Linked DNA regions of Lonchura striata. Each later gene encodes a partner of the first gene's protein in a complex. Links are inferred from orthologs where the notes say so. Each region holds a gene or a part of one and is shown on either strand. Other genes may lie near its edges. The genes, in order: NUP43 and NUP37.

The links.
Region 2: NUP43 (region 1) and NUP37 share a complex: the UniProt entries of both Homo sapiens proteins name them as parts of the nup107-160 subcomplex of the nuclear pore complex. The link is inferred for Lonchura striata from reciprocal best matches to the Homo sapiens genes NUP43 and NUP37.

Annotation. Positions count from the first base shown.
Region 1 is NC_134605.1:57,514,117-57,529,725, reverse strand, and holds the start of NUP43 (nucleoporin Nup43), read right to left. Parts: upstream 6,070-15,609; 5' UTR 6,030-6,069; coding exon 5,910-6,029; intron 5,537-5,909; coding exon 5,414-5,536; intron 5,172-5,413; coding exon 5,094-5,171; intron 4,189-5,093; coding exon 4,011-4,188; intron 2,410-4,010; coding exon 2,274-2,409; intron 1,391-2,273; coding exon 1,239-1,390; intron 1-1,238. Other genes in the region: PCMT1 (protein-L-isoaspartate(D-aspartate) O-methyltransferase), read left to right, coding at 12,313-12,571. UniProt on the Homo sapiens protein: Component of the Nup107-160 subcomplex of the nuclear pore complex (NPC). The Nup107-160 subcomplex is required for the assembly of a functional NPC.
Region 2 is NC_134607.1:19,253,150-19,268,232, reverse strand, and holds the start of NUP37 (nucleoporin Nup37), read left to right. Parts: upstream 1-7,138; 5' UTR 7,139-7,210; intron 7,211-7,246; exon of another isoform or gene 7,247-7,389; intron 7,390-8,696; 5' UTR 8,697-8,760; coding exon 8,761-8,916; intron 8,917-10,577; coding exon 10,578-10,702; intron 10,703-11,682; coding exon 11,683-11,755; intron 11,756-15,083. Other genes in the region: PARPBP (PCNA-interacting partner), read right to left, coding at 5,742-5,891. UniProt on the Homo sapiens protein: Component of the Nup107-160 subcomplex of the nuclear pore complex (NPC). The Nup107-160 subcomplex is required for the assembly of a functional NPC.

The DNA.
Region 1 (15,609 bases):
TTCTTCCTCATTTTTTCAAGTTTGTTAGTATCTGCATTTTGCTTTACTCTATCTGCACTAGCTTCCATGGTTGTGTATACAACTACCCTGCTAGAAGCACAGCCGTTCTGATCAAATGCATCTAACAGCTCATTAAAGAATTGCTTACTAAGTCTACTTTTAGTTTAGAGTTCACTTTTATATAAAAACAGTCTCCTATACAGAGAAGGAAGCCACATTTTCCAGATGAAAGCATGGAGCAGTAGGTATCCTGGTATAGAGATGAAGGTTAGCGATACAGAGTGAGGAAGGGCAAGAAGAAGCTGGACCTGAACCTGGCAAGGGATGAAAATAACAACAGGAAGGGCTTCTACAGGTATTCACCCAGAAAAGGAAGGTCCAAGAGGCTGTACACCCCCAATAATCAATACTAGAAAACTGGTAATACTGGACAGGGACAAGGCTGAGCTAGTCAACAACTTTCTTCAATGGCAATCTCTCTTCCCATACCTCCCAAGTGGGTCGGCTGCAAGACAGGGTCTGGGGGAGAAAAATCCTTCTCACTGTACAAGAAGCTCAGGTCCCACCTAAGGCACCTGAATGTACATAAATCTATGAGATGCATCCCAGAATCGTGAAGGAATTGGATGATGTAGTTGCCAAGCCACTCTCCATGTCTGAAAGGCTATGGGAGTCCAGTGAAATACTAGGGGACTGGAAAAAGGGAAAGATGAGCACAAGCCCATGTTTGAAAAAAATAGAAAGGAAGACCCTGAGAACTACCAACCTGTCAGCCTCAGCTCTGGTCCTGGGAAAAACATGGAACAAATCCTCCTAGAAGCTAGGCTAGAACACACGAAGGACAAGGGCATGTAGTCATAGGACAAAGGGGAATGGCTTTAAACTAACAGTAGGTCTAGATTAGGTTATTAGTAAGAAATTCTTTACTGTGTGGGTTGTAAGGCACTGGATCAGGTTTTCCAGAGAAGCTGTGAATGCCTCACCCCTGGAAATGTTCAAGGCTAGGCTGGATGGGCCTCTGAGCAACCTGGTCAACTGGAAGGTGCCCCTACCCTTGGCAAGGGAGGTTGGAAGTAAATGAGCTTTAAGGTCCCTTCTAACCCAGACCATTCTATGATTCAATGAGATAGCAAGTATGTGATTGTTTTCTACCACAGTTGCAGCAACTTATTTTTACAGGAATCAGAAACTTCTCTAAAATCCCACCTTCTTCTCCCCCCTCCATTTCAGATACTTACTTTCTGCTTCATGAGCATTTAGCAGGGAAACTGGCATAGTACCCTGCCTGATATCCCATATACTCAGCATTCCATCCTGGCCCCCTGTGGCTACAATATGCTGTTGATTGGGATGCCTATCCACACAGTGCAGTGGAACTCTGTCACCTGCCCTGCAAAGAGGAAAAAAACAAAACAACCAAATAACCCAAACACGAATTTTTTGTTTAGCTTCTATTTCCCCCTTCTTAATCGCTAATTTGGCATCAGGAGCATTGACAAGCAAGGTACCAGTATCAACAGGACCTTCAGTTCCTGTAACACCTGACCACCCCAGGCTGAAGGCACATGACATCTACTGGAAACCAGAGAATGGCGATAACACGAAGCTACAAACTGGTTTCGTACCCTATGGAACGTCTACACAGCATCTGACACCTTTATATGAGTGAAACGCCTTTTAGGCAAATAATACTCTACATATACCTATAATATTATTCTGATGCATGATATATTTATAGTTTTAGCATATACTAAAAGTTAAAAAGGGAGACCAGGTACTAACAAAATCAGGTACCTAAACCACCATCTAGGCACAGTAATGGGGATTATTATACAGACAACATAATTGAAATTTAGCCCTTTTTCTTTTCTCACAGTACCTTGTAAGGCACAAAGTTACCATTCAAATACATTCCAAATGCCAGAAACCTTACATTAGGCCTGTGGAGAAAAGCATATATAAACAGATAAAGAGTTTGGGATTGAGGATTGAAAGTTTTTTTTCTCAAAAAAGTGCACAGGTATAATAGTCCTTCAAAAGTTAAAACATAAAACAGACCTGCTAAGCACAATGCTGAGTCACACAGTGGTTCAGCCATCAAGCAGTCTGCCTTTTGCTTATTTAAGTACCAAAGAAGTTAAAATCCTTTAAAAAAAATCAGTAATTTACCATCCCATTGTTAGGAAGCTATTAGGAAAGATTTGAATCAGATTATATGAAGTAGCACATACTTTTCAGTAAATAAGTAAAACAAATTACTTAGGAGGTCTTACAAAGAAAACATTTGAGATGGCTCATTTCTTTGCTGTCTGAGGTCCCATATTTTTAACTGTCCAATTGAGTTTACTGTCAAGATCTCAGTTGTGCGAAGGAAAGTCACTGCATGGAGTGTACTGCTGTCTGCGTTGTCTGCAAGAGATGAGGAGAGCATACAGGTAAAGCTGTGGAATGGTAGTCTCCATTTAATTGCAACAAAGTAGCTCTTAATAGAGAACAGAACAGAATTGCTTAAACACGTGCATAACCTCGGCAGTTTCAGGGTCAGAGACCCTCTACTATCTGCAAATACCCTGTGAAAAAGGAGCCCTTCCTTGCTTACTATATGAAACACTACTGAGACAAATCTGTAAGATGTATTAAATTAGCTCTGGTGATTACAAAACTACTCGTTGATTTGTAAGATTCCTTTTTGTAGTTCCTAGAAGAGGAATTGATTCAACCAAGTTTATGGTTCTCAAAAGTTTTCTTCACATGGCCAGCATCCAGTGACAGGAAGTAGCTATGGAGCTTTTCATAATGGAGTTCTAAACACAGGGAACAGTAACTGGCTCACAGCATTAAGCAGTTTTATACAGAAGCAGTTAATTCACCAACTTTTAGACCTTTCCTGAAGTGCCAGTGTGGTATCAAGTTAAACACAAATTATGCTATGCTTGTTAATAACTAAATAGCAAGGCCCTTTTTTTTCAGATCCTTTTCTCCAGTGCCTCTTTTTGTCACAGTAATTTACAATGTCAAGCAATTCACAGCTTTGAGGTGAAACTTTTGAGGCCTTCTGAAAAAGTGACACTATTTTCTTGTATTTTATTTCTGTTACTATATATAAACCTTTCATCTTGATTATGATGGGGTAACTTTGTTAAGTCTACTTTCACCTCAAGTATTTTAAAATTCTTTGTTTAAGCCCATATGGAAAATATAGGCAAATTATTATCTTTCTGCATAAGATGGAAATATTTTCTGATACTGGGAAAAAAATTACAATGATGCCTGGTTACAGATATTGGAATGACTCTTCTGCCTATTGTTTAAATGAAAGCAGAGGGGAAGAAAAAACTCACTAAAACATCATTAAAAAGAAATGTTGGATTACTGAATACCGAGGTTCTAGAGGATTTAAAGTTTTATGACAGACTAAGTGGTTTAGCAATGATACATCTTTACTGCTCCAAAATATTTTTACATAAACCTCTAACTTTATAGATGTTTTTTTCCCTACCTTAACTGACTACAAACCTATGCACTTTGTACTGTACTCTTAAACAAACAATAACAAAACAATAACACTAAACACTAACAGAAATTCCAAGGTATTCCTTTGCAACTATTGAATGAGGTACAAGAGTTCTATCTTCAAGTTACGGATTCAGCTTAGTGCCTGGGAAATGTCAAGGTGTTATTGAAGTGGGAACCAGCAAAACAGATTGCTTACACCACAGAACTCCATTCTGAAGAACCTGAGAGCATCTTCTAAGATGTTCTCTCTCTTACCTCTCCAACTTTTATTGTAAAACCATGAATTTAAAAATACCTAGATGAATATAGAAATACATCTGAAATATGCTTCAAGTATTTGAATTCTGGAGGGATACAGGAATAATCTGGAACAAACATGTTCAACCTGGAATACTGAAATCAATATTCAACTTATTTTTTATTTTGTTATAATAAGCTGAAAACCAAACCCCCTCCAAACTAGACTAATTTAAAAACCCTGGTATTTCACACACCTATAGTTCTTACTGCATCTTTTTGGTCCGCCCTGAAGAGATTTATTCTACCATCTTCTCCAACAGTGACAATTTCTGGGTTGTTGCAGACAACTCCTGTACAGGCTGCTCCACCACAAGCTGTGTCTTGATCCACATGATAATGGGCTTTCTCCCACCGGTGGTCAGCAGATAATGTCTAAGTATTAACCACACATGAAATTATGGTATTAAATAATGAACCCAATAGAACAAATCTTCCAGAATACTCATATAACCAGAAACAAGCTCCAGGAAAGCCACAGTATTTCATGGGAATGAGAGCCTCCTATATAAATACAAATCAAGAGATCCAAATTTTCATCTTAAACACGCAACGCTTTTATTAAATGTTAATTATTTCTTCTCTGAACCACTGTGTTCACATGATCTAGCAATTAGAAATAACACTATGGACTGTAAAATGTCTTTCACTAGGCTGATGTCTTCAATATTTCCCATGACAGGGGAAAAGAACTGATGCCCTTAGAAAATAAAAGGTCAGATTCAGATCTTGATTGCAAGGAAGTTGGTTTATTTTAGGTACCACACCAAATTATTAACTGACATCCACCTTTACTGTGTTATTTGAACATATATAAAAATGTAATTATGCATTTATTTTCAGTGATTTATAACCAAAGCAAAAGGCTACAGAGTTTACATATCTTTCTTCACATGACACTCATAAGAATTAATTCATAATTTGTTAGAATTGAAAAAGAAGTAATTTATTTCAAGAATTCAAAAACTCTGATAAGGCAGGTAGAAGTCCATTAATATCTACTGCCCCAAAACCCTCTAATGTCTCAAACGATGCTTTCAATGAATGGGCGTTTGGTTACAGATACAGATAAGGAGATACCCCAGTCTGTCTCACTCTGGAATCTAGTTTATGTGCATATGTGTAAAACACTATTTTGTTTCCTCGTATGTGTCAAGTCAAAGCTTTTTTAACACGCTTTTAAAAGAAATTCATTTTGGTAGCCAGATTATTTTTATGCTAAGATCAAAGTAACCTGTATTACAGGGAATAGCATTTTAAAGCCAGTGCATGTCACATACCTGGTTATTTTGATGATGACGGAATACAGTTACAGTTCCTGTTGATGAGGCAACCACGATTCTCTCTTGATCCAAAAACTAGAGAGAGAAAACAATAATACTATTAGCCAACTTTGATTTTAGAGTAATCAAAATTATTGGTAGGTGGAGGGGGAAAAAACCAAACGCACGAAAAACACAGCAATATTGATTGGCATTGTCCTTTTTCTTTGTCAAAATTTTCTGGCCAATCTCAGCATTTTGACAGTTCACTTTCACTCAACTTCTCCTAAGTGACAAGCCCTTAAAAACTACGGAACTACTCAACACAGGTATTTTACCTGCATATCCATAACATCGCCGTTGTGCTGGATGTCACACAGCAAATGAGGTTCTCCATGATATTCACCGTTGAGGCCCGCATTTCCAAGGTCGCCAGCAGACCAAATGGAGATCCTGTTGTCCTGAACGGAAACGATACCACATGTACTCGAAAACGCTTTTGAAAGTACCGAGCAATAATCCTCAGCCAGGGAAAGCAATAGGCTGCGGGCTGCGCGCCGCTCCTGAGGAAGCCGCCGCCGGCCGGAGGGAAGCGCTTGCCCCGGGGGATAACGCTGCCGGGGCGGCCCCACAGCTCCCTTGGGGACGCGAGCACGGCACGGTCAAGCGGAGCGCGGGATTGCCGAGCCAGGCGGTGCTCCCGGCCGGCTCCGGCCCCGCTCCCGCACCAGGCGGCGGAGGGCAAGGAACCGAGGCGGCGTGGGGCGCCGCCGCCACCCGCCCCGCGCCCGGCGGGGAGGTGGCGCCGCGCCCTCGGGCCCGCCCGGGCGGTACCTCGTTGTCCCAGGAGCCGGTGGCGAAGAGGTCGGGGGGCTGGAGCGCGGCGGCGGGCAGGGGCCGCCAGCGCGTCCGGCTGATCTTCTGCGACACGAACTTGGCGCTCACGTCCTCCATGGCCGCGCCCGCCCCGCGCCCGCTCCCGCCCGCCCCGCGCCACGCGCGCTGATTGGCTGCGGCGCGACGGCGAGCGCGGAGGGACAGGCGGGGGCGCGCTCGGGCCGTGCCGGGAGCGGCGCGGGGGCGGCCCGGCGCCTGCTGCCCGCGGTAACGGGGCTGGGGCGGCGCTGCGCTCTGCCTGACCCTGAGCAGCTGCACCGGCGCCTATCGGCTCGGTGTCGGTAGAGGGTCGGGTTCGGAGAGGAGGAAACAGAGGATGACGCGACCGTGCCGTTGTGTTACCTGTCTGCTCGGCTGGGCCGCGTCCGCCGGAGCGTTGTGTCCGTATGTCACCTGTGCCTTACATGCACCGACTCCTGTTTTCTCAACATGAGCGACGTACACAACGACTAAGCATTTCTGGTTTAAGATCTGCTTTTAAGTATGTCCTGCTTTCAGCTGAGTTAATTTTCTTCCGAGTAGCAGCCAGAGCGCTATGTATCCGATTTAATGTGAGAATAATGGTGACATCACACTGATGTGTTGCTGCTGAGCGGCGCTTACCGCAAATCAAGTTCTTTTCAGTCCTCGCTCTGCCGGTGAGCACTTGGACGAGAAGCCAGGAGGGAGCATGGCCAGGACAGCTGACCCGCGCTGGTGAGAGGGATATTCCATACCATAGAATATCACATGCACTGATTAAACTGGGGAACATTGGCCAGGAGGGACCAATTACTGCCTAGGGACAGGCTGTTTATCTTTTTTGATTTGAATTATTAGAGTTATTAAGAGATAAGTTGTTATTATTATCTCAACCCATGTTTTTTTTTTACATTGGTTTTATTCCAATTGTCCTCCCCATACTCCCTGGGGTGGGCTGGGGTGGTTTGTGGGGCTTATGTGACCAAATATTTGCCTGGTACTTGCTGGCTGGGGTTAAACCATGATACTGTACTTCTGAGTGATACTGTCATTGCTTTGACAGATTCCTACCTGTACAGAAATAAACAGAATATTTTTTTGTCGTAGATGCTATGTTAAATCAAAGAGGAGCACACATGTACTTTCTTTCTAGTATTTCACTTGAGAACTAAATAACTATGCAATAAAAAGTTCAGAGGTTAGTTGTAAAATTAAAGGCTGACACAATTGTGTAGTTAGTTGTCATTTCAGAGGATGAGACTATTGATCCAGTCACTGCAGTCCAGTAAGGGACTTTCTCACACAGATTTTTACAGCTTTGTTTTCTGCTGCATTTTTTTCCAAAGCTGATGCTGCCCAGTCTCAGAGGTTCTGTCAGATGGACATAACAGTGGCTTAGACAAATTTTCCATTGTGCTATTGCAGTTTTCCTGCTAAAGGCATCTATACAGATTTATTCTATACAGCACTTTTGAGTTCCTCATTAAGTCTGCTATACTGTTTTGTAATCCCTGAGGTGTGATACCAAACCACTGATATTTTATGTGCTTCATGCATCTTTTGAACTTCATTTAACTTTTTCTTCCATAATTACATTCAGCAGAATCCAACACTGAACATATGCCAAAAGCTGGATTCTCTAGGAGTCTACCATACTGCAAACATACCTTAAAAAATAATTGTTGCACATGGCAGCAGCATTGCTGTTCTACAGTAGCAAATGCTTCTGGCACCCTTATTAAGCTGCTCACAGCAGTTCTGCAAGTCACTCTTGACTCCAAGGGTATTATCAGCTAATTTTTATAACACGAAAAACATCAATAGGCAGCCTCAGAGTATAGCTACAGACCAGACAACTAAAAGCTGAATAGAAAACACTTTGGAATTATTAAAAAGTCTTATTAGGCAAATATTTTTTTTTTTGTTAGTTTGTGATTTCTCTGTGTGTTATTTTACCTTGTGCTTTTGGATGATATCTTTCTTTGCTCAGGATTGCTTGTTCAGAAGCATTTGGGAAGTAGTAAGGGAAGTTAGTTGGACATAAAGGCTTATTTTCACATAGAGGAAAAGAAGATTCACAGTTTTTCTTCCCTGTCCTACATTTTTTAAAGAAAATGTTGGCAGCATTTTATATGATGAAAGTGAGAGCTCTGACAGATTTAGGTCTGCTTTGTAAACCTTTAAATACTCTGTGCTTGATCCCTCTGAAAGATGTGTACTGTGTTAGTATATCATTTCAGTGTAATGGCAGATTTAAATAAACATATAAAAGGTGCAAATAAGCACCAAGAGAAAATACGCCTCATCTAGTATTTCTGTAGTTTTCAAGAAAGATGTTAAATCTAGGTTAAGATGACTCTAAGCCTTTGGTCCAAGCATGCCAGCTAAGACAACAAGGTGCATCTCTGGATTACCCTTCAATATGGCTAAAGCTGGGAGTGTGAGTGAAAGGGAAGAAAACCGAAAGCATGCCTGTCTCAGAGAACGTAGGGGGCCTGAGGACAAAGGCACCTACTAGATCAGTGATTGTACTAGGGCAGGATAAAGCTAATTCTGAACTAGATTTGCATATAATCTGCTTTTCTCCAATCATCATTGAACAATATTGAAAGAAAGTTTCTTGGAGATGCCAAAACAATGTTGACAGCTGCTAAGAGGTCCTGGAGCTGTGCCCAGTTTATTCTCTTGAAGGTGTACAGTTACACTGCAGTGTACTGCAGAGCAGATGTAACAGCAGAGGGACCAGCCCTGAGTGCAGTCATAAGCCTTGCCCGTGGCTGGGGCTCCCATCTGGGCTGGGATACCCTGCTCTTGGCCTGAGCTGTGCTGTAGGAGGGCCTGTGCTCAGCCATGTTGCCCAAACTTGGTGGCTAGCTTGACTTGGGGCCTGACTTGTCACTTCACTTGAAGGCAAAACCATTTCTGTCCCCAGCCCTGCTCTGCTTGCCTTGCTTAGATGCTGTGGGATGGTCTATCATCTGGAAGGTCTCATCTGGAAGGCTGACCTTCCTTCATGAAGGGGTACCAGTTCTGCTGCTCCTTAATGGGGAAAGTCACTGATGTTACTGAGTCCTTCTCACCTCATCTCTGAGTGCAGAGCTGGTAAAACATGGATGTGGAGTTCAAAATAATGTAAACTTCTGAAATGGTAATACAAAAGGAAGGTACACACCAAACTGGCTTGAGCTTATAGGAAAAGAAATGAGATGAAGGAGAGTGATTAAGTTAAAAAACAGAATGGAGGCAAGAAGAGGAGGGAGTGTAGGTGTAAAAGCCAATTAGCGTAGGGTTTGGGACATAACTGCGGAAATGTACAGTAGGAACATTTCACAAGGAAATTTCTGCTTGTGGTATGCAGAAGCAGATGGGAGCAGACAGTGATGAGCAATTTTCAAATTCTTTCTAAATTCAAAGAATTTAAAAAAATCTAATGGGCCTATGAGGTGGGAGGGAAGGAATCAAACAGAAATAGTAGTTTGAAGGGGTTTATATATAAATGTATGGAAGTACAGCTAGAGAGGATTGGGATGTGGGTGAATGTGCAGCAAAGGAAGACGAGATGATGTGCTTACACTTAGTGGGATCTTCATGTCAGAACAATTGTATGGTGGCATTCTGGCTGCTGGCATTCCGGCTGCTGGCATTCCTGTGCCTTTTCTCTAAGAGGACTGTCCACGCATCAGCTTCCTGGAGAGTCTAGGGAAATGGCTCTGCATGTGGAAAATGGAGGTGCCTGCAGTTGACAGTGAGCATCCAGGGACCAAGGTGCTCACATGAGTTGGAGCAGGATACAGAAATCCTGAGTATCAGAGCAAATGGATAGGTTTCACATAAATGGTGATGGCCAGAAAACAATTTTTTGTATTATTATTTCTGCTCATATTTTACACTAGTAAAAAATGTTGCCTTTAGTTTAGTCTCGTTGAATGTGCTCCTAATAGGTTTTTTAAATGTACACATGGCCTGGGATTATGGAACTGAAAGAGTTAGGGACACCTTCACTTGTTTACTGCACAAATGGGTGCATCCTGCCACTGTTGGTGCATGTTAGTTTCCCAGGACCCTTTGAGGCAACTTGGCTTGTCTTAGAGCTCCTGGAAGCCTGCCAAGCCAATGCTGTTTCCTTCACACATGCCTGATATCCGTCCAAGACACCCCAGATATTGTTAAGGAAGGCCCACACTTAGTTTCATTCTCTGAATGTCAAGAACATGAACACTCAGTCAGAAAGCAACCAGGCAGGACTGCAAACTCCTACGAGAGAAATGCAGGCTTGCTCTCAGTGCTCTGTGACAAGCTAAGCCTAATTCAAGCTGGTCCTGGTAAGCAGCATCAGCTTGTATGTAAATAGTTTCTGCTGTGGTTTTGGTCTCCCAAGGGGTAAGTATCCCTGGAATGCTTTTAAACATGGGCCAGCTATTTTCTTGGCAGCAACCTCTCTATGTGAGAGCAATGCAGTTTGCTTGCATCTGACAATAGAAAATGTCTTTTGCATTTAAAACAATTAAGTATTTCTATGCTGTACTTTTACAATGTCTGTCTGTTCTCTGTACTTGCTGCCCTTTGGGAATTCCTCTAACTCCATGGCATCTTTCCCACTCTCTCAGCCCACTGGGTGTATCAGGGAGATCTTTTATATTCTGGGACAGGCTGGGAGCCTCACTTGGACTGCAGTTGCCAGATCACGCTTAGGAGAAGTTAGATGGAGAGCACAGAATGAAGCAGTAGATCTAGCTCCAGGATTAAAAGAACCAGATGGGAAGTCTACGGATGGGGTCTGGTATATGCATTGAGCAACTGTCAGATTTGTCCTGGACTGACTGCAAAGTAGAGAAGTAGATTCCCACCTTCACCTCTTCACGTGAACCAGCAATGATTGCATGAAATAGACGTGTTGTGTGGAGCTGGAGCAAAATAAACACTCAAAGTCAAGATGGGCTCTCTCACAGAAGATACAATCTGTGTAATCTCCCATGGTGGTATTTTAGGCTGTGTCCTTGTATCAGAAATACTTGAAATATCTGCTAGATGACACCTTATTTTCCCCAGTGTTTATACTATTGTTAGGGCTAACCTATCCATACTTATGTATCACTGTTCTCATGTTTTAAAAGCCAAGAACTGAAAACCCTGCTGTCTGGTACCATGTGGATGAAATACCTGTGCCAGTGCGCCTGATTAAGAAAGGAAGTGCTGCAAAACTATTCCTAGGTGTGTGAAGCCCATTTGCAGGGACCAGAAGGCAGCACAAATGCAGAAGTCACAGCACTGACAGTGGGTTCCTAAAATTGCAAAGATGGTATATGCTTTCCCTTTAAACAGTAGAAACGTGTATAAATAACAGGTGGCAAATGAATATTGGCAACAAAATTAATCATAAAGGCTCCCTTCAGAGGAGGGAGAAATACTATAGGACTGTAGGAAATTAATTATCTGTTTTCCCTCGTTATGTTATAGCTGCAGGAGGATCTGAAGGTGCTACTTTTCCCTTAAGATTGCTACTTCATCATAGGCCTAACGCTGGGAGAGAGTAAGGGCTCATCGGCATTTAATAAATTCTGAGCTATTGTCCTGGATACCTCTTAAAAGGAATTTTAATTTGTAACTTTTTTCTGTGTCATCGGTATTGCACCGGTAGATGCTGCTGTGAAACATCGATACTTTCGCGGCCTTTAGCCAGTGTACGGCTATGCCAACTCTCCGTATCCTTCCAGCCCGCTCCCACTCCCGCCGTGTTTCCCGGGCGCAGGTCGCACCCGCGCTGCCCCGTCCCCACCGTGGGCACACACGGAGCACGCAGCTCCCGCGCCACCCGACCAATGGCAGCCGCCAACACGTAGGCCTGGCCCGCGCGGGCTCGCCGCGGCCAATAGGCGCGCCCCATGCAAAACACCGCGCCGGGAGACGCCGCTAATTGGTTCCGTCGCAAGGGCTGCGGGTCGCGCGCTGGGTCGGAGCCCGGAGCTGGCGGCGCAGTCACCGTGCTGGGTTCGGCCGCCCCGACTCCGCCTTCTGCGGTACCCGGTGGGTACCGACTGTGTCACGGGAGTGGCTAAGGCCGGGCAGGGCTAGAAGTGCGTGCGCGCCGAGGTGCCGCTTCGCTATCTCATTAATTAACAGAGCTCCTAAGTTCACGTACACGCGCCCCCAGATCCGTTCCACCCCGCCGCCGTTTCTGAGGCGAGGGCAGGACTGGGGTCTCGCCGCTAGCGCGCGATCCGGGGCCCCGGCAACAAAACGCGCCGGCCGGGAGCCGCCGCTGTACATCTCCGCCCCGGCGCGCGAGGATCTCCCCACGCGCGCCCCTGGGTGCGGTGGGCGCGCATGCGCGGGGGGGCACCGCGCCGGCCGGCGGAGCGGCGGCGGCGGCGGCCGGGGCATGTCGGGCGCGCGGGGCGGTGGGCGCGTGGCCCCTCCCCTCGGCGAGCGCGCGGCAGCCGCAGCGGCGGCGGCCGCGGGAGGAGGCGGCGAGGAGGCGGCGCCTGTGTCGGCGCTGGAGGTTGTGTCCTTCCTGGGGAAGCTGCTGTGCGCAGTCGCGGCGCTGAAGGCGGCTCTGTACCTGCTCCGCAGAGTGTGCCTAGCGATGGCCTGGAAGTCGGGCGGCGCCAGCCACTCCGAGCTCATCCACAACCTCCGCAGTGAGTCTCGGGGCGGGGGCGCGGGCGGGGCCCCCGGGCTGTGGGGCGGCCGTCAGCGGCCGCCCGGTGACCGTTAGCGACCGCGCGCTCCCGCGGCGCCCGCCCGACCCGCCGCTAACTGTCACACGGAGCGACACCGGCGCCCGGGCGCGCGTGCCCGTATCGTCCGTCCGTCCGTGTCCGTGTGTGCGTGTCTCTGTGTCCGGCCGGGGGTGTGTCCGTGCGCGCCCGGGCGGGGGATGTGTGTCCGGGCGGCGGCCGGTGTCGTAGGGCGGGCCGGGCTGTTGTTGCGGGAGGCAGTGCGGCGGGCGGGGTGGCGCCGATGGCGGTCCCGGAGGGGAAGCGCCGTGCGGCGGCCGCGGCTGTTCCCTGCTCGCCGCGTCCCCCCCTCCCGGCCCCGTTCCGTCTGCGGGGCCGCGGCGGCAGTGCCGGAGGGCCCGTGACTCCGGCACGCACCGGGATCGGCGTTCGTCCGTCCGGTTCGCTGCGGCCGGCGGGACTGGTGGCGTCGGCGGGCGCCCTCCGGTCCTTCAGGCCTGGGCTGAACAGCGCAGCGGGAGCCGCCTGGGTTTGGGAATCGCGGCGAGAGGCCGCGGCTGTTTGTGTCGGGTGAAAGGGGCGTGTGGCAGCAGTCCCTCCCCCCTGCCCGGCGGGGTCCCGAGTGGCTCCGCTCGGAGGGGTGGGCTGGCACCGCGGGGAGCGGAGCGGAGCGGTCGGGTTGCGGACTGGTGCTGTGACAGCCGGGCTTTGCGGTGGCTGCCCGGCACTGGGCGCTCCCTTGTGCTCGCCGAGGGTTTGTGCTGTCCCCGTGCTGAACGTGGAAGGTGTTGGGCGGGCGCTTCTTCGCCGATGTACTTCAGTACATCCTGAAGTCTGCAGGTCCTGAGAGGACGGAGAGACAACACCTTGTGCATTCGGAGCTTCCACTTTTCATATTAGAATTGAATTAACCTCTCTTAAGTATACTTAGTGTCTCTCGTCTATGCTTCTGGCCTTTTCCCTTCCTCTTCTCAAGTCTGTGTCCTAGACGTAATCGGATGTAGATCTGGAGCCCGTACTATGACAGTTGGCTCCTACTTTAGTGATACTACAACACCACAGATAAGTTCATCTGTGTGGCCTCCTCATTATTCTGGTGTCATAGGAGAATCACTCTTGTTGTTTTCTCCTTTTCTCTGCTTATGTTAGATCATCTGATCATGTGGTCTTTCTCAGTATTTTCTTTTGAAAACTATCGCATCCAGCAGAATAATACATGCTGAAGTGACTTTCAGCTTCCCTGTAAAAACTACTGATTATTGTAGTTTCGTTGTAAAAATTCTGTTTAATAAATTGATAATAACTTCTCTAGTTACAAGTGTTGCAATACATTTGTTTTGTTTTATTTTGCAACTGAAAGGGCTAGAAATACTGTTTTACTGAAATACTGTTCTCTTACACAGCAGGGAAAAACTTTCTGATGTAAAAACCAATGTTAAACTCCAAAATACATCCAAAAAGCAATTATTACCAGAATAGTCTAGGACGCTCAGAACCTGAAGGCAAAACCAGTTTCTTTGTTGCAGAAGACAATGACAGTTTTTCAACACATGGAAACTGTTTAGGGCGTTGCAAATAATGATGACAAAGCTAAAAACCGTTGTAGTTAGTATCCAGCGATAGTTGTATCGGAAGAGGAAAGTAAAACAGAAGTGCTCAATATTGTAATCTCAAAGCATGCATTGATGCTAATTTCCCCCTCTCTGTTTTGCATATGCATGCCAAAATGTTTTGAGGGGTGTAAAACAGGGAAATAGTGGATTGGCAGTAAAATATTGTGGCAGCAAAGAGGCCTTTGATCTTGCAGGAAGATTGCGTTGTCAACTTCAGTGGGACTCTGTTCATGGTGTAGGGCTTTATCAGTGCAGAGCAGCTGCTGAATTAAGACCATAACTTTCAAATAAGAGTTCCTCAGGTAGGACGGTACCTTGTTGCTAAAGTTGGGAACAGATTTAGAAGAAAGTACTGTTTAATGTTATACAATTCTTCCAGATATTTTTTAACAAACTTAAACATTATTGGTTAAAGAAAGACTTAAGATGTTCCAGAGAATTCTTTTGGAGTAGTAGGTCCATCAATGTATTTTCTCCTCTCTAAAAACAGCTACATAGCATTTACAGCATTTTATGCTAAAAGTGAGAATGCAGATTGGATGAGGTTAATTTGATGTTGTCTGGTGTTTGTCTTGTGTGTAACTTATTAAATATGTGTGTAATATAGTGTATATTTTGCATAACTTAAAAAAAAACAAGGCAGGTTGTAGTGATACAGTATGTTTTCTTCTGCAGCGGATCTTGGTGGAGAGGTTCTTGCCCTTGCCCTTATGCCACAATTCTTCTCTTGACTGTTCTTGTAGAATTGCCTGTGAGGGAGGCAGTGCTGTAAGACTGGGTCACTTTCTCATGACTTGTGAAAAATCACAATTTAAACTCCTAAATGTCTATAAGCTGTTGTACTATTATGGTTAGAGAAGCAGTAAACTTGGTTGTGGATAAATGAGGGCTGAGGAGAATGGGAACCTATTAAAGTGGTTTTGCTTTCAAATAAAACCATCATTAGAATATTCCTGTATGCTACATGTTCTTTTCCTTTAAAAAAACTATAAAGATTATTCTTAATTATAAGCTGTTATTGACAGTTACTAGTGCTTCTGTTATGTGGCAATAAAATTCTCCATTTTGTGACATTTGCTTTACTGCTTATTTCACTGTTGCCTTAACTGTAGAATTAACTTTTCTGTAATGTAACAGTCATTGTGATAGGGTAGTGACAAATGATTCTGCGTATGTACAATGCAGATTTAGGCAGTTATTCTTTATAGGCTTTATCTTTGCTGTCCTGTCTTAAAAGGGACAAACTAATAAGGAGGGCCCTGGAACTTTGCGTGTTTTTCAGCACATGTTTAGGGACAAGTGACTGAAGAATGTTGAAGTACATTGTTTTGATTTTTAACTTCTTGTTCCATTGTAAACATCTTTTTGTGCTGTTAATTTGAGGCA
Region 2 (15,083 bases), on another chromosome or scaffold:
ATTAAGCAACTAAATTACTTATAAACACCATTAGCAACAGAACACATGAAATAAGAAAACATGAGAATTTCTAATTCTAATTGTTCCAGCCCAAATGATCCCTCCTTTGGGTTCTAACACATTTAGCACAATTTTCTCAATAGACCTCATTAAATACACAACTCCAAAATCCTGAAAGTCAACTATTTTGGTATTGTCTAGGTGAAAAATAAGGAGTAAAAATTAAAGAACACTCACACATATTAGCTTCAGAGCACTTTTCTGCCTTTTAATTTGTGCATGGGTTATGATAAACCAACACTATGAACTTACATATTATTCCACATATCACCAGAATGTTAAAACTGCGCGTGTGTTTTCTGAAAAGCACCTGATTTTCATTTCAGCCCCTCAAAAAATTAAACATATAATCTTATTATAACCCAATTTAAACAGATCAAAGCCACAGTAGATGGGGGGAAAAATGTTATTTTCTCACTTTATTTTGAATCAAAATCCTTCAGGAGTACCAAGTTAAAGTACAACTTCATAAGGTATCTAATAAATCAAAACCTTTCCTCACCAGATCAAGGGCCTGCAGAGATTAGCAAAGTTTATGTTAGTGCTGCAAAAATATTTTAAATCCAAATGCTGCATTCCAGATATTAACCTTTGTGACCCGACATTCACTGTGATGGCACATTCCATTACTTACACAGTCAATTTATCAAGTCTCTGGTTTTAAAATTAATTTTAAAAATACTGTGGTGTTTTGCAGTAAGCATTTGTCAATTGGCTAATAGCTTAAGGAAATCCAAAAAGTCCCATTCTTTCATTCCATTATAGGCAGATCAAGTGTTTCATCTCATAGGAATAGAACCAATAAGGTATTACAAAGTATCTTCACTTCCTGGTAATACAGCATATTAAGTTACCTGGGGACTCTGGTTTTAGAATGTCTGAAATCCAGTAGCAACATTTCATGCTAAAAGACATCATTTTTTACTGCTTTGTAGGTATTGTAAGTTTTCTAGTGCTAAGTACATAGCAAAACAATTTCTCTTTTGACAGCAAATTGTTTTAAAAAACAAAGTTGTGCCTTTCAGCACCAAAATGTTGGCTTCCACCTTCCCCAAACAACGGCTCATCAATCCTTTTAGGAATATGTGTGCAAAAGACTGCTGTGCTTAAGCACGACCTCTGGGTTGGGGTTATTCTTTCCAGGCATACTCCTAGACTGCAGCATTGTTTTCTGGCTTTGTCCTTGAGTTGGGCACTTCTGCACTCTTGTCACCTCTAGTCCTGCTCAGCCTTCATTGCTTCCCTACACAGCAGAGGAGCTCCCAAACTGTGGTACATTTGGGTAGGAAAAAGCAGCATTTTTAACAAGTTCCCTATCCTGGTGACAGTGCTGTGCAGACTGAGAAACTGATTCATGTGAGTACAAGCGCATGGACATCGGACAGTTGTGAGGTTGCAAAGTGCAGAAGCAGTGATGTTACAGGCTGAAAGCCCAGGCTCAGAGAATTGACAATATTATAAAATAATAATAAATAAAATGACAACGGCATGGGCATTGAACACTTTTGTTGTGGGTAAAGGGGAGTGTTGGGGGACAAAGTACCAGGGCCCAAGAGAGTAGATGCTCTGTGTAAGGATTACTAGAGAGCTGTTGTACACAGTGGACAGTAGAACAGTAGCTGCAACAGCAGAATCACAGAATAGGCAAAGCAAAAACTGTACTCTCCCAAACAACAAACCAGTACTTTCTAAAGCCAACCCTATCAATTATAGTGGTAATAAAAACAAGAGACTGAAAATTTAGAGCCCTGCTGGTTAGAAATTAATGAAACTATAAAAAAAGCCCACACATCCTTGCTTCCTCTTCTACCCCTCAAAACAGACACCTGTAATACTGTAGAGAGAAGGGTGGAAGAGAGAAGAAAAAGTTCTATTGATAAGCAAGGAAAGATGCATCAAGACTTAAGTGGCAAAAATTTTAACATTTTTAAAACAACCTCAGTTATTAAGCAAAACAAATACATGCAACTAACTTAAAGTTACAATTTGATTACACAGGGAAAGACAGTAGAACAGCCTCAATATATAATTTCCTTTAAAAAAAGTATCCAGGGAAATACTTACTACTCCAAAGGCTTTTCTAAAGAAGAGCCTGTCCCTTGTAGAGAAGGCTACTCAGCACTGGTGAGACCACATGTAAGTACTGTGTCCAGTTCTGGGCTCTTCAGTACAAGGGAGACTCAGACACACTGGAGAGAAGTCCAAGGAAGTTAACGTATCACCCACAGACATCATGAAGGGACAGGAGCACCTCACATATGAGGAAAGGCTGAGAAAGCTGTGGCTGTTTATTCTGGAGAAAAGAATGCCCAGGGAAGATCTCAAAGCATACAAATATCTGAAGGGAGGATGCAAAGAGGATGAAGGCAGGAGCCTTCCTAAGGTGCCCAGTGGCAGGAGCAGGGGCAATGGGCAAAAACTGAAACACACACAGAAGGTTCCCTCTGAACATCGGGAAACACCTTTTTACTCTGAGGATGCCTGAGTACTGGCACACATTGTCCAGGGAGGCTATGGAGTCTCCAACCTCAGAGACAACTTGAAAGACACCTGTACAGGTGCCTTTGAGGGAGGCTGGATAAGATGACCTCCAGAGTTCCCTTCCAACTTCAACCCTTCTGTGATTCTGTGAAAAATTAATCATGCTGAAGGACAGCCAAGACAATCTCACTTAGTAGCATCATTACAACATGTTACAAGCAGCACATCACATGAAATTGCTACAAAGTTAGTCAGGAGTATCTCATTACCAAAAGGGAGACAGAACAGTTTAAGGGAGTAACACTGTAAAACTCCACTTTTTTCTTCATTTGCCAACTTGGAAACAGGACAATTTGGGAAATCATTTCAAGAAATAAAGATACTAAACAGAACATAATATTCTCCAGTCGGCATCCAAATGCACTTGCGGAAGCACAGAACAGAAATAAACCAAACATTTTGTATATTTCTGCTTTTATATAAAATCAGAAATATACAAAAACAAATTTCTAAAGGGAAGATAATTTCTAAAATCAACAAAGAAGCAGTTTCTCTTCCAGTATCAAAGTTCTCATTCTAGAAAAGATTTCCAACACATTTAAGTCTGACAATTTAAACTCATAGATTCTGGAAAAATAATTGTTTTATACACTTCAGTTTCCCATCCCACTAGCTAAAACAGCCATAGTCTGAAAATGACAGGTGATTATCTGACCAAAAACTCATCTTCTACCCCTGATGATCCACAGGTACAAACAGTCAACTTAAAGCAATTACCCTCAGCTGAACTTCATCTTGAAAACTTTTCTTATTATTTCAAACCCTGAGGAAGAATCTTCTTGAAAATGTTTCTAGATTTTTAGATCTATACTAATCAATCTAGGTGAAAGGTATTTACTTCTATTCAGAGACCTTATGCCACATGGCTACAACCCAAAGTATTTTCAGAGGGATTCAGACCACAGATTTGCTTTTTTTTTTCTTTCATCCCTACTGTTGGATCAGGGATTATCACACTTTTTTCTATCCTTATTATGGTGAAATTTAAGATTAACAGATTATGAAGCTTTTAAACTTTCCTAGAGTTCTCCTAAAAGCTTTGTTATTTTTCATTTCCACTGTGGATACAGGTACCAATTAAAACACCAAATCCATTAAAACTGTCCAAACTCCTAAATGAAGAGAAGTGTATTTTGGTTATTTGTGATAGGTTGGATGTGTTGGGTTTATCCCAATACAGCCTGTTAATGAATTATTTTTATTGCAGTAATTGACTTTACTAAAATAGATTTCCATTCTACAGGTGCTAACAATTCAAATTATTGTATTTAAATCAGAAACCTAACAAGTGACATGTCTACAAATGTAATACTCTGCATCTTAGTTTGAAGTTTCAGTACTGAACAAAATAAACCAGACAGATTCTGTTTTAAGACTGTGAACTTGAAAATGGATACCATCTGAAGAAATTGTGCTTCAGAGGCAGCACATGCAAGTCCTAAAATAATTTTAATCCACATATACAAACCAAGGTTTGTCTTGTTAGACCAACTAGAAAAAACAAATCAGGTTTTTGAAAACTTGTTCTTTCTTCAGATCTGAAGAAGCTAAACATTTCAAAATTAAATTAGTTGAAAATAACTGCTATAATTTTTGTTAGACCATTTCTGAAAGAAGAGATATTTATGGAAGAGAGGAATATTATCTGGAAGAGGAAAAAAAGGATAAAGTAGAATAAACTAATTACCTCTAGTGGAAGAAAAAACTTATTGCAAGGAAAACAGGGAGCAATGAACCATAACCTTTTCATGTCTGTAAATTTTGGCATACAGCGGAACAACATATTTTAGTTCCCAGAGCTGGCTTTGGAAAACTGTTTGCAGTTTTCCCTTGAGAATCACAACGAACATGACAAACAGCTGTCACCTCCATATGTAGTTTTGCATTAATGTCTTTTATCAGTTTTCCAAGAGTTACTTTTGATGCATGCTGATGTTCTCATTTCAGCTTGCATAGGTATTGTGAGGACACCAGGCTCCTGGCTGGAATATATTACATTCCAAAAAGTACCAATGTAGTATCTTGGCATTCTTGTACCCTTACTGTAACATATCTAACAGTGGGGGATGACTTAACCAGTTTTATACTTAATGCTTAGCAAGAGATATTCCTAGTCTGCGTATTTTAGACTACAAAATCTTTTTCTGATGCACAAACTGAAGGTTTTCTGTTTGTTTGGATTTTTTAATTGGCTTACGGATTTCACTTTGATGTGGTTCTGCTGTTTCTGGTATGTTTGTTGATTTGGTACATTTGTTTTGGTTTTCTTACACTAAAGCTTTGTACTACATGTTTGACTTACTATGCAACACTTGAGTAAGTCTTCCAAAACCAGTCAGTATTGTTTTGATCAATAATTAGGTTAGTAAACCTAAAAAAGTATCTTAAACTATTAAAACAAGTATTGTGATAGCTCTCCTTAGATGAGAGGCAAAGGCCTGATTGTATATTGCAACTGTTTCTGGTATGTTTCAGACATCCTCCACCTCTGACGAGCCATAGGCTACTTTCAGAGACACTTTAGGGTTATTCCTCCTTTTCAACATTTGACAGACACTTCATGTGCACACACAAAGAAAGCCGTAAAATTCCTCCTGGTACTGGCTACACACTCACAACTTACAGGTACACATAGGTCTCCACCTGACCAATGTCAGGAAAAGCAGCAGCCAAGAACGGTCTGTGGCAAGTACAACTTGCACAAACTATACCAAATCAGTTTTGTAATCATGTTCGTCACATGCCATTCAGAAATCTTCTTGGGAGCACTCAGAAAAACAATGCACCCCAAATGCCATAGTTCTCTTACCCTGATCTATAGCACAAAAGAAACATTGGATGGAAATAAACAGAAGTGACACAGTCAGTAGAAATACACTATTGTTTAAAGGCTGGAGCTCAAATATACACATAAAAGCACTTCCATCCTCCCATCTGTCTTGCAGGTCCTTTTTGTAAACCCCACTTCAATAGTGCTCTTAAATATTCATTTTCTTGCCTTGCTGCATCTGGCCCTCAGACATACCTTGTTTTAACAAACAGGAAGGAAACAACAACAAAGTAAATTCAGGTTGGTGCTTAAGCACAAAGTGCAGCCAGGGAACCAAGTCTGAGGTGTGCCAAGTACCAAGAACACTAACCTGTTTATTGACTTCAGCCATGGACAGTTGTAACGCCATCAACATGCAGTCTGCTCCACATACAGTAGTTCTTTCAGAGTTGGAAAATAAAGGCCATTGTCTTCTGAAACACTTGATCAAGTGTAAAATTTTTTGCTGAAAAGTAACCATTGTCCAGACTAGACAATAGATATAATCAAGTGAAAAACAATTATGGCCAGAGACATATGCAGGTCTTCACCTCCCAAAAAGCTGTGCAAATCCTGTTGTATCTTCTTAAAGACCAAGTTCCTAGAATAAACTCCTCCAGCTAAACCAGACTTGCCTCACTATGACAGAGCAAGTCTGAAAGTAAGGGGTGTAAGTATGTCACACCTTTAAAGTCCTTATTTTCTTTGCATATCATGCCAACATAAAGGAATGCTATCACAGATATCACAGTATTTGTCTCCAAAAGCAGCCTCAGTGCATCTTCAGAACTTTCTGCATTCACTATACATTCAGGTGAGTGTCTATGAGGACGTTTTAATCCTGGAAAAAGAGATGTTTAATATTTCTAAGAGTTACTAACACAGACAACTCTAAACACTTTTGTTACCGATACGGTCTTTTCCCTTTTTTTTTTTTTAAGTTTGATTTTTTTACTTCCATAAGGCATTATCTTCTCTGGCGATAATTGGGCTACTTCATGCTTTGGTCTCTCTCACCTTCTTGCATTTGTCAAGACAAGGTACATGACAATGTGGTACAAACTTGCCTTTAAACTTGTTCTTTTCTGAAACAAAGTTCCCTAACACCGCCAGGACAGTACAGGAGCAATACCTATCCCATTTACCTCCAGAAAACAAAACTCAACCTTCGACCTTTTCCCATACAGCCGAAGCAGAGACCACAGCGGGTTCGGTTTTCGGTTGCTGGCACGACTGCAAAAAACGAGGAAGTGTGGGCAAGGGGCAGGGAGGAAACGGGCACGACTGCAGCAGCAACTTCTCACTGTCCAAAACGTGTGGGCAAGGGGCAGGGAGGAAACAGGCACGACTGCAGCAGCAACTTCTCACTGTCCAAAACGTTTGAAGGGGACAACGTCGCATGGGGGGGGGTCACAGCGGATGAAACACGCGCGCTGCAAGTCAGCGCTGGGCAGAGTAAAAGCTCTCCGGAGGCTTCTCTTTCTCCCCACCCTACGAGCTTTCCAGGGGACCATACCTGTCGCTCCCAGCGAAACAGCCCGAACAACCCCTGCGGAGCCGCCCCTAACACCCAGAAGCCGGGATCGGCATCACCATCGCGGGCGCCGCGGTGCCCCGAGCGCGGTGCCGGCGCTGCCGCTGCGGCGGGGCCGGGCCGGGGCCGCGCCGCGTTCAAATCCGCCGCGCGGCCCAATGGGCGCGGGGCCGCTGCCCCGGAAGCAGCCGCGCCGCTGCCGCCGCCCGCGGCCGGCGCTGCTGGGAACGGCCGGGCCCGGCGGGAGCGGCGGCCGGCGTGCCGAGGTGCGTGTGAAGCGGGGCTGGGCCACCCCCGGCCCGGGGAGCTCGGGCAGCCTGGCTGGGGAGCAGCAGCTGGGCCCCGAAGGGAAAAGGAGGGAGGGCAAAGGATGCGCGTGGATGGGGGAGGTGACGCGCACCCACGCGGTCTGGTTGCCTTAGTCGTGCTTTCTAAAGAAATGAAGGTAATCTTACTCTTGGTGTTTTCAAGCTGGTCTGGCAGCCCATAATTCAGGCTGAGAAAGTTGGGGTTGTTCAGCCTGGAGAGGAGGAACTTGAGTGGAGATCTCAAAGCACCTTCCAGCATCTCAAGTGGCTCTACAGGAAAGAGGAGAGGGACTGTAGAGATAGGGCGAGAAGCAATGGTTACTTTCTTTGGTTGAGAGAGGGGAAACTTCAGTTACATTTGGGGAAGGCATACTTTACGGTGAGAATGGTTAGCCACTGTCCCAATCCTGGCAGTGTTCAAGTGCTGGATGAGGCATTAACAGCCTTGTCTAGTGGAAGGTATCCCTGCCCAAGGCAGCGGGGTTTAGGACTACATGATATTAAAGGTCTGTTCTAAACCCTTAACACTCTAAGATTTTATAAAGGCTTGTGTTCATGGGAAGCCTTGAAGGAAAAAAACTTTTGATAGGATTAAAATTTGCATTTGGCTTTAGTAGCAAAGCTATGCAAGTTATATGGCTAAAGTATTTATGGTAATATAGTGGACTGTTGTATGAATTAATACACAAACACATAACTACGGAGAGCCTCTCTGTGTTTGAGTGATGCCTCTGTCAGACCTGGCTGGCTCCCAAGCTAAACATTCGGGCTTGAATGCTGAGACCTTCAGGTCATTTACACACCAAAATCTGTCAAAGGTCTGAGATTTCAAGCTGATTTTCCACGTGGTGTGTAGTTAAAGGTCTGATTTCCCAAAAAGACATAAGCTTATCTCAAATCTGTACTGGGACTACAAGGAATTGATTCTGAAATCAACTGTGTGTCTTGGCCTCTTGTGTTCTAGTACAGAAACCTGATTTTCATGAAAACTGGTTGAATGTGCGACAGAGTTTTCATTTACAGTTTTGCAACCTTGGTTAACTCAGTTTTTCGTTAGACTCACAGTCCATAAAGAGGTAGACAAGTAAAGAGAATTTGAAGGTAGTGATGTGTTGTTTCTTTTCATTTGGTTGAAAATGTTAAAATGCTGTTCGCGACTCTTCTGGAGTATGTGCAGTTACTTGGTTTTTTGTATTGGTGTTGGGTTGCCAAGGGTAGTACAAGATCTGCAGTTATTGCTGAAGTCAGAAAGAGACAGTTTTGAATGTATGTTAGTTTAGTAAATATTTTGATTTCTGAAACAAACAGGCTACATCTAATAAACTTAAGTGCAGCTTTTGTGTTCTTGAACATGTTACAGAAATTTTTATTTACTCTGCCACAAATACTTTGCGGTTTTTATTCATGCAATGAGTCATCTATGCTTTTTTAAATTTTTGTGTAGGAATGTGGATTTTTGTCCTGAAGAAGACACAGTTTCCGTGATACCTTGACTTAGTTCACTGAAAATGAAGCAAGATTCTACTAGAAACATTTCTTACACTGTGGATTGCGAGGATTATGTGCACGTGGTAAAATTCAATCCATTTGACAGTGGAGATCCATGTTCCCTCATTGCTTATGGTGGCAACAATTATGTGGTTGTTGGGACTTGCAGATTTCAGGTTAGTCTGTATTATACTGTTGTTTTTGTTCGATGCCCCTGAAACTGACTTTGCCAGCACCTCTACTGCAGAAAGACTGGTCACTTTCCTGTTTCCTGTTTCCTCCTCTTGCTGGGGTAAACAAGGGAGAATTTTACTTGTTTAATACACTAACAAGTCTAGGATACTTGTTTTTCAGGAAAATAGAAATATATATATATATATATATATATATATATATATGTATGTAAAATACACACTGATATATCTGCACTAATTTTATAGATATTTCTTTCTGGGGATGAACTGTAGAAATACTTACCTAATTTTTTTTTTCTCACAGTTGTTTTTACTGGATCTCCCTTACAGACTGTAACAGTCTGTAAAGTAAAACATCTTACCTTTAAGTTATTTACAGTTATATTGTGAAAAATTTTTAAATGGAAAATACTGAGTATTGAATATATTTATACTGGATAAAATGTTTTTCATTAGATGAGTTTTTTGCCTAGATGCTTGACAATCAATTGAAGACAATTGCTTGGAATTTCGAAGCTTTTTTCCTTCATCTTGCTTCTTTATTACACAATATTATTTTTGTAATTTGTCTATTATGATTAATAGTGTAGCTGATATCTTTATTATTATTATTATTATTATTATTATTATTATTCCCCATGGTCTTACTGTTGTAAATTTTCTGAAGAGCTAACCACAAAAACATACTGATATTTGTGTTCCTCTCTACCTTGTTTCTGATGTAGGCCTTGGAAAGGAAGTAATTCAAATTTTATAACCACTGACACAAGGTGTTTTTTCTATAATTTTCATATCCTCCCCTTCCACATGTGGAGTCAATGACCATGTCACAGTAGGAGAGAAAAATGTTGTTCTTTCTTCCTGTTGAGAAGCATTGAAAAACTGTGGGTAATTTCATGCATCCTCAGCTGGGTTCTGCTTGGCCTCTACATTATGTAGAGGGCATACAGAGAGGTTCTTTATCTTAAAACAGAATTATGACATAGAGAAAATTGTGTAGGAATATCTTTTGAGGTGCTCCATTGGATGTACTGAAAACTTTTAAAAGCGTTTTAGAGGTCAACTTATTGATGGAGTCCATAATCCCAACTCCTGTTTTATTTTTCCTGTTATCTGGTGTTCATATCAATGGTAAGAATAAGCAAGCTTGTAATTAGGATTAGATGACAGAGAGTACCTTTTTGTCTTCTGCTGTTTCAAGAGCAATGTTCTGGAAGTGACAGAATTTTCTATGGTGTAAAAACAGTTCAGAGAGAGGACAGATTAAATTACATGCTTGCTTTTGTTCCCATTGCTTCTTCTCACTGCAATGTATGGTAAATTGCCATTTTTAAGTGGCCTTAGTTGTATCTGTGAAGATACTAGTACAGAGAATGAGCTCAGCATCTTCATAGTTTAATTCTGATTTTCCTGCTCTTCATTGATGTCTGGCTTGAGACTGCAATCATTTAATATATTTCTAAGTACTTACATAAAGCATTAATTTGAAATATTTATCTTCCAGATTTTATTTTTGAAGGTGTTAAGATCTGAAAAGATTGCAATATGTATAATTTTGAAAGCCCTTTCATTTCGTAGCAATCTGATTTGTTAGAAGTCACCAAGACCTTGTTGTGAATCAGCTAACTGCAATATTTCTATAGGAGGAGGATGCAGAAGTGGAAGGCATGCAATATAAGACACTAAGAACATTTCACCATGGAATCAGAGTTGATGCCATAGCATGGAGTCCTGAAACTAGACTTGATGCTATACCTCCTCAGATAAGGTACTTAACAATAAACAACTACAGTGAATCTTTGTCTCTTACCTGTTTTCCCTAAGTCGTTAATAATGGATTGTTCAAAGTTTGAGTGAAATCTAACTCCTTAGAAATCACTGATGAAGTCTCTGAAATCTTCAGTAGAGTATTTATTCTTACAGTCTTTTTTTGTTCATTTGCTTGTTTTTTGTTCTCCCTGTGCCCCTTGATCCTCTCCCCACTGAACAAGCTGTAAATAATATTTTTTTCATTATTTTTATGGACCCCAGACATAAAAGTTTCTTTCCTTGTACATCTGTGATGAGCCATTTATTTTAAAAGCTTTAGTAAATGTGAGATCGTTTGAATGGCCCCTTTCTAAAGCTATTTGCACTGATTTGCATAATATGTGCTATGTTTCAATGTAGGTTAGATACTATTTATGAGAGCTTTTGAGGTGTAAATCTAGAAAATCTAGAAAGATGGTTAGCTATTAAATGTGAACTTCTGAATTAAAATGTACTCAGTAATTTGATTCTTCAGAATTACCATAGTTGCTTACGACTCCGTTTTCATACAGTCTTTTGGGTTAAAACATGTTGAATAGAATTTGGTTTATGAACTTTATATTTCAGTATTTTGAAACACTGATAATTAGGGCTATTTTTTGTGCCCTACCACTTAACTTCTTCAAAGGAAAGTTTCAACAGCATTTATGAGAGTTATTTCAGGTAATTAGTAATTGATCTAGATTTAGCTTTGTAAAAATGCCTGAATAAGTATTCTTGGCACTTGATACACACTATTCTACAGATAAACTCCAATTATAACTCTGCTTGTGGCCAAAGCAGAAAAGTTAAGATAGATGCTTTTGGGTTTTTTTTTCAAAATCTGTTTCTTCTTTGAGTCTCACTTTGCCTTTTTAAGATGAAAGAAAACTGATTAAAAGGCAACTATTGCAATGTTGATTGACTGAAGGGCCTTTTTTTTTAATCTGTTGAGTGTAGGTTTTGTACTGCAGCTTCTGATAGGAAGTTAAGGCTGTTTACTTCAGACCTGCAGGACAAGAATGAATTTAAGGTAAGGGCATCTAATGTGATTTTTAAAAGATTATTTGATTTTTAGTGAAGTCTAATCTTTAATTGTCTTTCTGCTCCACTTGTGACAGAGCCTAGGTTCATCATCTCTAGTGATAATAATTGTATTGTAAATACCTTTCTGTCTTTAAAGTGGGAATAACTGTAATTATCACCTACATGATGTTCTGATTTCCTTCAAAATTCTTCCTTTGAAACAATGTTCCAATCCAGGTACTGCTGTTAATTAAATGTTTGTGCTATCTAGTATAAAGTTTTTTTGGTGAGGTCCTAGCTAACAATAAGCAAAGCTAATTAATTTAAAAAAAAATGGGAGAGAGTATTCCTTGGCTTTTATTGCTTTAGAAGATGATAATGCCTCTTTGATGAGAGTGGATTATTGGGTATAAAGGAGAAAAAATAGACTTTTATTTTTGATGTGTTAATTTATGTTAGTAAGACAATGAGATTTGTCATACAGAAATTAAGTGAATTGTGGATGTCAGTTATGTGGCCGTACTGCTAATAGAATGAATAAAGGCAGGGCATAAGAAGTAAAGATGGATACTACTAAATGTCTTGAAAGAAAATGCTCTTTGTGTTGCTTCATGCATGCACATACTTTTAATTTACTTCTTTTAGTGTTGGTCATACATGACTTTGCCACTGAGCAGTGGCATAACTGACATAGTGAGCTGGGTGGGATTTCTGACAAAATAGTTCTAAAGGTTCTTTATGCTCTTTGCTTCTGAGTTGATATCTGTCATTCCATATTAAAGTTGTCTGTTTGTGTAATATATACAGTTTTGTGAATTTCAGACAACAAGCTGAAAGCTTGTTAAGCTGTGAATTAAATCTTTTAACTTAGCAGAATGTAAAGTTTCTTTAATATTTAGCTAATGGATTGATAATAAGTTGAAATAATGAAACAATGGGATAAACTTGGTACTACAGACTCTAGCGAGCTAAATTCAATATCTGAGTTCTAATTTTTTAGTTTATTTTGGTTTAATTAGGCTACAAGAAATAGTGTGGTTAGCAGCAGGAAGGAAGTGTTTGTCTCTCTGTACTTGGCACCTTGAATCCTCTCTTCAGTTTTGTGCCACTCAGAACAAGGAAGACATTGAGGTGCTGGAGCATGTCCAGAGAAGCAGTGGAACTGGTGAGGGTTCTGGAGTGAATGTCCTATGAAGGAAAGTCCAGCTGAGGGAAGTGGAGTTGTTCAGCCCGGAGAAAAGAAGGCTTGGGAGGGACCTTATCACTCTCTACAACCACCTGAAAGGAGGCTGTAGATGGTGGGGGTCAGTCTCCCAGCCAACAAGTGATAGGACCAGAAGAAATGCCTCCAAGTCATGCCAGAGGAGGTTCAGATTGGATATTAAGAAAAAATTCTTCTGTAAAAGGGTGGTCTAGCATTGGAACACGCTGCCCAGGGAAGCAGTGTGATCACTGTGTTCACCTTACAGATGTGGTGCTTAGGGACAGACCTGGCAGTGTTAAATTCGTGTTTGGACGCAGTGATCTCGGAGGTCTTTTCCAGCCTTAATGATTCTATGATTGTTTGGTGCATATGTAATACAAATGAGAAGTGTTGGCTTGAATTCAGCAGTAAAGCTATTAGCTTTGTTTATGCCAGGTCCACCACTGAAATTAGCTGTCCAAGAACTTTATTAAGGATGTACTCTGGCTGGGGAAAAGGTAAAAATACATACTGTTACTGGGTCAGGCTTGTTAATGTTAAAAATAATGAGAATATAGCTAAGAATACATGTTTTTACCTATTGGTGAGAACTCATTAACAGAAAGAATGTGACTAGTGTGTTTATGTCAGTAAAAGCTGTCTTTGAGACTGTCTTCTGGGGTTTTGTGATATAAAGTGTGGAAAACCCTTTCTGGCAATCAGCTAATTTCTTATATCTGGACAATCATTATACTCCAGATTTCTTGTCAAGAAAAGTAACACCTAACTCTGATCTACAGCACATGCAAAATCCCAGATGTTCACAAATTCTGGGTGAGCTATGCTGATCTGGCTTTCAATAAAGTTTGATACAGTGGCTTCTTATTAACAGTTAACTGATACCTCAGAAAACCAATTTCATAAACCTGAGGCTGAACTCACGATGAACATGTGGAAAATTTTGGTCCATTATACGGCGCACACTTGACACATGGGATCTTCAGGAGAGGTCCAGAACATGAAAACAAAGCTGAAGGAAGTATGTGACTATGTTCAGAATGTAATCTCTGAACATTTTGTCTTTTATAGTAAACAATTAGTAAGTGTTGCTTCGGGAGGGATAGACAGAGTAATCTTACTCTGTTTTCCCCGTGGAGAAAACTGTCTTGATGTAATTATCAACAAGGAACTTGAAGCACACTTAAGTTTTCCATTACTTTGTCGACACAACTAATCCAAAATTTATGGGCTGGATCAAGCCCAGAACAAAAAAACAAAAGGTAAAATATGACTGATGTATCTTCGTGAAACCTTTTTCTTCTTTTGAGGTTTTCATTTGGAAATGAATTATGGCTTCCTTGTCCTGTTTCAAATTTTGCTTAATAAAAAACATATTTAAGCAGAACTGTAGAAGTAAAATGAAGCAGGATATTTGAATTCAGAATGCTGAAAATTGTCAAAAGACTTGGCATCTTGTCTAAATAGTTTAGCATCATCTTAGGGCCTGTTAGTTCTAGTATAATCCATTAGGCTTTAATAAAATAATGGAAAAAAATATTGGAAAAAAAATAAGTTGGCTGCTGAAAATGTTTCTGTATTGAATTGATGAGGTATTCTTAAAACTTTTAGAGAGGGGGATTTAGTTATTGTGCGTGCTTGAGATTTTCTTTTTTTTTAATCAGTTCTGCATTTGTTCCTGAGAATAGCTACACTTAAAGGTGGTGTGTTTTTCTTTGAGAAAACTGTGGAATTTGTTTTCATTTGACCTTGTTTTCCTCTGCAGTCTCTCGGTCTCATGCTATTATCGAGAGGATATTTTTGTCTCATTTTTATGATACCTTGCTGGGCAAAACAAAAGCAGCTGTGCCTCAAGACTTAATCAGTGGGACTGAATAGAAGAGGGTGGAACAGTAACAGATACATCTACACATCAAAATTTGCCTGACTTAAAATTTTGTGAGCTTTCTTTCAAAAACACCATAGGTGTATTTAATGAGAGATTCAGAGATCAGTGTTAATTACCAGTAATCAGAGTTCTTTAATGTAGGTAGATCATGCATTCATTGCCTGGCCATTCTCTTCTTTTCTGAGATTTAGTATCTTTTACCTTCAAAATTCAGTGGTTGAAAAGATGATAAAAAGCTCTAGTGTG